Caenorhabditis elegans: one gene and its partner. The main gene of each other region encodes a partner of the protein of the gene in region 2 in a complex. Each region holds a gene or a part of one and is shown on either strand. Other genes may lie near its edges.

Region 1 (4,030 bases), 2.3 Mb from region 2:
TACCTATTCTTATTTTCAGACTTGGTACCAATTTCATTCTTCTTCGTCTCCTTAACCAATGTCTTCGCATAGCCGATCATCCAGTGATTCGAGTTTTGAATTTGTGAAGGAAGATGGCGAATCTCAAGTGGCAAAGATGGCATTGAAAATGGAACAGAGGTCGAAGGAAGTTCAAGATGCTTTAGATATCCTTAGCATCAATGGAGATGTTTCTTCTGACGAAGAAGCAGTATCTGTAAAAGAAGAATCTTCTGATGAAGCGGGAGTTAACACTTCCCAAGAAGTTATTCAGAATGATGATACTGAAGAATCTGAAAAATCGGAAACTATATCTCGTGAAGTGTCCAACACCGATGAATTCGGGATTGGAAACAATGTGGGATTTACTGCAAAAGTTGATGATCTTATTGAAAAAATCGCTGAAGCCGTTAAGGATCAACAAATATCAGAGACCACTGAAATTCGTTACAGTGATCCACTTGGGGCATTGGAACCTCTCGTGGGTGAACCCAACGAAATTGAAAAATCAGAACTTTTGTCTGAAATTCGCCAATTACGATCTGAAATCGAAGAGATGAAAGAAACGGAAGTGAAACAAAATTCAACGGTATAGTTTTTTGTAGGGATAAAATTAGTTGAAAATGTTTTTTTCTAGATAAGACTTCTCAAACTGAAGTTCGACGAGATTGACGAAAGGGAGAGACAGAAGGAATTACAGGTAAATTTTTGGAAGGAACTTAAGGCATCCATGGCATCGGTGGCAGGCAGGCGTACATGCCTGCCAACTCTCAATTTTTTACATTTGGAAGTGAACTCCAGTGCAATTTGAATAATGTAGAGCTACTTTGAACCAAAAAACTCCTGAAACTAAATGGATTTTAATTTTCGCAACATATTTTCTGCGCAAATATCTCGTAGCGAAACCTACAGTAACTTTTTCAATTCGAACTAAACTGAAAGATTTGGGGTTACAGTAGTCATTTACATATTACTGTGGATTTCTCTTCGAGATATTTTGAGCGTTAAATATGTTGCGTAATAGGCATTCTCAGTTGGAAATATCTACATAATAATTTAAAAAAATCATAGGCTTTAAACAAAAGATTTTGTGAAAAATCAGTCTCATTTTGGATTACAATTCGGGAGTAGCTTTCCTAAAACTCCTCCCTATCAATATATATTCCATCAAAAATTTGTTTTAATTTCCAGCGTTACACTCCGATTGCAACTGGAATCTGCGGTGCTTGGCGGCTCTCCGAGATCAATAAGTATAATGAAACACTCAAAACCCGTGGAGTATCGTTCCCAAATCGTCTGAAAACTCTTGCTGCTTACACCGTATACAACTTCGATGGTACTTATCTGAAATCTCACAATCAAGTTTTTTGTAAAACGTTTAACAGTGGCTGTTTGAAACTTGGAACTCATGAGATAACCGGTGGAATTGTTGTATCAACCTTCATTTATAGAAATAAAATGATAACAATTTGGAAGAATAAAGATGGAACTTCTTGTGTAAGAAAGGAGAGATACATTAAAGATGGAAAATTGTACAATGTGCACACAAACAATTCCGGCGAAAGGACTATACGCATTTTTGAACGAGTTCAGGGAAAATCAGATATCTTGTACTCAATTGCAAACGTCGGAGGACTCTATCTCAAATTTTGGTGATCACCTGCTTTCTTCAATCCACACAACTTGGTCTCGCAACGAAATATCATCTTAATGATTCTCAAATTCACAGCATTAATTAATTCGCTATTTTATTCAATAATTTTTAATTTTCTCCGTCCATTTGTCTTTCAAAATTTTTTAAAGCAATTTTTAATCATTTTAATCGTTCTCCGTGGGAAATAATGAATCTTTTCGAAATTCTGTGCCTGTAAATAATGATTTCAAGGGTACTGTAGTTTTTTTTAAACAAGTGCGCTCTATTGCACACCGCTGGAATACGCGCGAAAAATGGGAGATTTCATTTTTGCTCGCTTTTTTTGCATTTCAAGCATTTTTTTAAAATTAAAGCAAGAATATTTTCAGTTTCAGAATTACATTTTTTAGAGATGGCTTCCAGCTCGACCGCATATTATCTGAAAGACGCCGGATTCCATATTCGCAATATTCCGAAAGCTTGGAATGATTGGAACTTGTTCCATGTCTTCCAAAACTTTGGAAAAGTCAGTTATTGCCGTGTTGTTGGACAATCCAACGATGGTCAAGTTCAATTGGGGTAAGATAGTGAGACTCTAGAAACGATTCATTTAAAATCTTCAGATTTGTGAACATGATGTCGGTAGCAGATGCTGATGAAGTTCGCAAGAATTTGAACGACGGAAATCTGATCGGCGAAAATTTCACGTTGAAGGTGAGCGTTGCGAATATATAAATTCAAATTAAAACTGTAATTTTAAGGTTACCGATCATAAGAACGTCGGAGGATCTCTTCTCCCAATGGCTTCCAATTCCGTTCAGAAGCTTGTATCATCTCCACCATCGAAAAGCGGACCAGTTCTTCTATCATCATCCTGGCTTCCACTCAACAAGGATATCGAGGTTTCTTACTTTTCCTTCAGCTTATATTAAATTTTCAATTTAGGTCGAAGTTGTCGACTATCTTCCATCCTCATCAGTGGCTCCAGATCTTTTCGCGTTGACTCTTCTCCGCATAAATGATTCGTCAATGAAAGAAAAATATGATTCAATGCACGAGAAAATGAACGCGTATGCTCAAATTGTTCCATTCGATTCGGAGCTCGAAATTGGCTACGATGGAGTCTTCCGTGATGCTCCCCGTTCCGTTCGACGCGTTCGACGCATCTCAGCCACCAAGCTTTATCTCGTTGATTTTGGAAAAATTATCAATTATGAGAAGGCAAAATGCTTCCAATTGCCAAAAGTTTTCCAGTCGATGCCGACAAGGGTAAGAGTTCCATTCAAATGTTTAACATATTTTTTCTATTTATTTTCAGGTTTCCTTGTGTGGACTAGATGGTCTTACCTGGTCACCAGTCGCCATTCCATCATTTGATAATATTCGCGAGGTTGTTAAAAAATGGGGACAAATGGAAAATTCGACGCTTCACGCCATGGCTTGTGGATTTCAAGGCTCTATTAACATGATCAATCTGTTCTGTGGAAAATGTGCGTTTTTTCTTTTGAAAATTCCCCTCATAATAATTTTTACAGCGATTCTTGCTGACCGTCTTCAACGTAAAGGTGTCTGTGAATACTTGCCACGCAGTCAGCAGCCACACTATGCATACTCCCGCGAGACTCTTCTTCAGCACAATAATTCTGGAGTGGTGAGATTTGATGATTTAAAGGGATTTTCAGTTTTAATTTGGCTTTATTTTCAGACTGCTCAAATTTCGAACGATGCTGATGTCGTCAAAGATCTACTCAAGAAGATTGATGGAGTGAAGAACATGCTCCGTGAGCTCGAGCTGTAAATCTGTCCCATTTTTTTTGTCGAAATTACATTGAATCTATGATGTTGTCAAAAAAATGAACATTTTAATTCAGTGTCAGATTTTATAAGAACAACAACAAGAAAAATAACAACGAGAAAACAACAAAAAGAAAAGAAAATCAACAAGAAAAAAATCAAGAAACTTTGAAAAGTGAAAACTAATCGCTGTTCCAGGCGTCGTAATTCAAGAAGTTGGTTACAACATTGTGTCGCATCCTTTCCATCTTGCCGGAAGCTTCACGAATTTTTCCTGCCAATTCAGAGGAAGATCCGTTTTTAAGCGTCTGAAATGAAATTAATATTATATTTTGATAACATTGTTCGCGGTTACATTAGCGCTCATGGCCAGGGTAACACCGTCCAGAACGATTCCGATGGCTGCAACGCTCTGCAGCATTCCTTTCATAAGTGCATTCGTGAGATGGCCCTAAAAACGAAGGTAAAAATTTAAATTTCAAAAAAACAACTATTCTACCATGGAAGATGCGGCCATTTTAATTCCGAATCCTGTGATTCCGGCGAGAGAAACACCAAAAAGTGTTTTCAAATGAGACTGGACAT
Region 2 (3,306 bases):
AAAGAAGGTCTTCCGATTGCAGTACTGACTGGTTTAGGAGAAACAAAATGGAAAGGAAGAACGAAGAACATGGCACTTGAGGCAAGAAAAGCTGATGAACGAGAATTGGAGTATTTTGAAGCAGTTCATAAAGCGATCAAAGAAATAATTGACGATGCAGAAGGTGACGAAGAAGATCGAATTCTGATGATTTTGGAAATAATGGAGAAAAGGAAAATTATTGAGCCGAACGAAATTATCACGGACACGAACAAATTCGAAGAGCTTCTGGTTCAACTGGAAAATCATTTGAGTGAACGTGAAAAGGAGAAGTGGATTGCCTGGGCTAAAAGGAAACAACAATTACGAGAGACGGCGATCACGACATATGGAAAAGGAAAAAGCTTTAACATCTACGATAAGCCAGTTAATCTAGAAGAAGATTATAGACTGAATGCTGGTGTTGATAACTCGGAAATGTTTGTGAAAGTGAAAATAGAAACGATGAACTGGAGGTCTTCGGATGAGAGTGGAACTGAAGATCGAGAACTTTAACTTTATGTCGTTATTTTTAAAATGTAATTTATAAAATTTTTGAATTCAACGAAACATCATTTTTATAAACTCAAAACAAGATGAAACAGTAAAAACAGTAAATTAACAGTGAAAACTTATGCAATATTCGAAGGAATGTCGTCGAAAATGGATCTGGCTGGCTTGTGATTGGCCGATACTGGGGTGTGCTTCTGGGGGGTAATTCTTGGACTTCCAGAAAAGGTGAACTGGTTGCTGGTATTCTGAATCGCTGGAGAGAGGAATCCACGTCCAGCTGGCAACTGAAAATGATATAATTTTATGCGTGAATTTAATATTTATTTCTTACCGGATTAGATAGGCTCAATCCGGCTGAAAGTGGTGAGCCAGTTCCATAATCATTCTTCTTTTCTTTTCTGAAAATTAAAACATTTGTTATAATATGTGGGTACTTCACAAACCTATAGATAAAATGAAACTCGTCGCAGTCATTATGTTTTTCGATGATTGTTCTCGGCTTTGCTTTCATTTCGTATCCAAGGGCTGCCAACTCGAAACGATCGCTCAACGTCACCTAAAATTAAAAAAAGCTTTCGTCATCAACATTAATAGATTATTACTTTTCTGTGAAGATTTGTATTGTAGTTGAACCGTTCAGCGCATTTGTGTGCGATATTTGTGTCTTTTTCAATATCCGAGTCGGTTTTTAACGAATTCTGATCGATTCTTTTCTGAAAAAAAGTTTTATTGTTATTAATTCTGAAAAAATGATAAAACTCACTTTAAATGGTGTGGATGCCAAAGTAATATGCGAAAACTCCCTTTTAGCCGACATAATTGGAAAATTCGAATGTCAGCCGAAGAAATTGTGTGCAATAATTTTAACACCGTTACTGTAAGTTTTAAAGACACATGTCCATTTTGAAGGCATGGGTCTCGAAGCGAAAAAACTTGTTACGGTAGCGCGCAATTAAAAAACTTGTAAAAATCTTTTTTTTTAGCTTGTTAATTAACGTTAACAAAATATATGAGAATATAGATGCAGAAAAAAAAGAAATTTCATTCGATGAATGTACATTATTGAGAAAACACAGTCTACCTATTTGAGACTAGTTTAAAACAGAAAGAAATTGTAAATTAAGGTAAAAAACCTATACTCTTTCGTGGAAGCTTCCTGATTCGTCCGATTCATACCCATCGTTTTCAAATCCATCATTGTCGTTGATTTCGCTCCGAACCGAATATTCAACTTCAGTTGTTTCTTGGAATAAATGAGTTGGTGTCATAGGTACAGTACTATGATCATCATAGACTGTTACTCCAAAATTCTCTTTCATGTGTTTGGTGAAATCTATTTTACTAGTCGAACTTACTCCATCGCTGAAAGTATTTGGAATAATTGATTTCAGAAGTTTGAAGAAACTTACATCATTGTATTTGTTCGACTTCTTGTATGTTCAATAAGAGCTTTTGTAAATACCATATTACTATTTAAATCTCCACGTGCAATCTTCTTTGCATCTTCATCAACCAAATGCTGTAAATTAATTATGAATAACAATATCATTAAGCGTATTACCATACCTTGTACTTTCTGACCAATTTAGTCTTATCCATCTCCTTCATATTGTTCTTATTAACTAAAATTGGTCTCAAATAATTATTGTTGAGTGCATTCCACGAATCACGAATCCAATGATGCCCCTTGAAACCGGCAATGTCTTCCATTCCAGCCATAGTCGTGTCGATAAGCTATAATTTTCATTTCACTGGAATTTTGGTTCTGAAAACTCACTTCGCTGTAAATATGCTCAATCATGTTCTTTGAGTGAACATTCTTTTTCTCAACTTGTAGGAATTCGGCAATTGGTTTCAGTGTAATTCCCTGAAAATGTTAAAAATCTATTTTAGAAGTATTGGAAATAATCCAGATTTTTTTTCAAAATTTAACTAGGCACATTAGAAGGCTATGTAAATGAAATGCTGAAAAGTAATAGTAAGGTATGTTTTTTAAAAACATCACGGGTATAAAATATAGCTAGATTGTTTAAAAAGATACCTGGAGGAATACAGTGAAGTAGATGACAATGATACAACTGGTGACAAACATATTCTTTCCGGGTATAAAATCTGGAATTGCAACGACAAGACCGTATGCAATGGCACCACGAAGACCTCCATAAGCCATGATAAATTGGTCTACCTGTATGAAACATATACTTTTTTTTATCAAATAACACAAATTAATTCTCACCTTTGTGTACTTATTCAGACGATACTTATTCAAGAAATAGCACATAACAACAACTCCAAGGGTACGGTAGATCAAGCAGAAAACTACAGTAAGAACGATGAAAGATGTGTCCCAGTGATGGTTTGAGGATACTGTTGAGAGTCCCAAAAAGACAAAGATAACTGTTTCCGATGCAAGAGAAAGCACTTTGATGAATGATTCTGTGGCTTTTACCGTGTCTGGGTCCACATTTTCACGGCAGTACTGACGCATGGCAGCACCACAAAATACAATTCTGCAAAAATTTTATTGAAAATTAGTTCTAGTTATATTTTGTTTCAGTTTTACAGCTCTGGAAGAGAATTACGGTTTTTGCCAAAACTTTTCATATTAGTATCTTCAATCTCTAGACCTTAAGTTTACATTTTAAAATTCCGATTTTTAATACAAAATTTAATATGAAAATATGAGTAGGGCTAAAGTTTCAATATAAAAAAGAAATTCTGAAATAAATTAACTTACGCCATAATACTTGAAAGACCGAAAAGTTCTCCACAAAG

What was found. The genes of interacting proteins can lie anywhere in the genome.
Region 1: pid-1 (region 2) and tofu-6 share a complex: the UniProt entries of both Caenorhabditis elegans proteins name them as parts of the pid-1 variant of the PETISCO complex.

The regions. Positions count from the first base shown.
Region 1 is NC_003280.10:5,419,216-5,423,245, forward strand, and holds tofu-6 (Embryonic developmental protein tofu-6), read left to right. Parts: upstream 1-2,032; 5' UTR 2,033-2,063; coding exon 2,064-2,230; intron 2,231-2,274; coding exon 2,275-2,365; intron 2,366-2,412; coding exon 2,413-2,553; intron 2,554-2,596; coding exon 2,597-2,920; intron 2,921-2,969; coding exon 2,970-3,141; intron 3,142-3,186; coding exon 3,187-3,302; intron 3,303-3,356; coding exon 3,357-3,449; 3' UTR 3,450-3,522; downstream 3,523-4,030. Other genes in the region: EEED8.15 (PHR domain-containing protein), read left to right, coding at 59-607, 656-718, 1,210-1,674; F07F6.7 (Apolipoprotein L, 1), read right to left, coding at 3,628-3,753, 3,801-3,896, 3,945-4,030. UniProt on the Caenorhabditis elegans protein: Component of the pid-1 and tost-1 variants of the PETISCO complexes, which have roles in the biogenesis of a class of 21 nucleotide PIWI-interacting RNAs (piRNAs) that possess a uracil residue at the 5'-end (also called 21U-RNAs) and embryogenesis, respectively.
Region 2 is NC_003280.10:7,689,156-7,692,461, forward strand, and holds pid-1 (Protein pid-1), read right to left. Parts: upstream 1,402-3,306; 5' UTR 1,349-1,401; coding exon 1,295-1,348; intron 1,245-1,294; coding exon 1,134-1,244; intron 1,088-1,133; coding exon 975-1,087; intron 930-974; coding exon 863-929; intron 816-862; coding exon 651-815; 3' UTR 535-650; downstream 1-534. Other genes in the region: F18A1.1 (Receptor L-domain domain-containing protein), read left to right, coding at 1-534; nhx-2 (Na(+)/H(+) exchanger protein 2), read right to left, coding at 1,665-1,893, 1,941-2,050, 2,098-2,265, 2,309-2,398, 2,573-2,716, 2,768-3,041, 3,269-3,306. UniProt on the Caenorhabditis elegans protein: Component of the pid-1 variant of the PETISCO complex which is required for the biogenesis of a class of 21 nucleotide PIWI-interacting RNAs (piRNAs) that possess a uracil residue at the 5'-end (also called 21U-RNAs).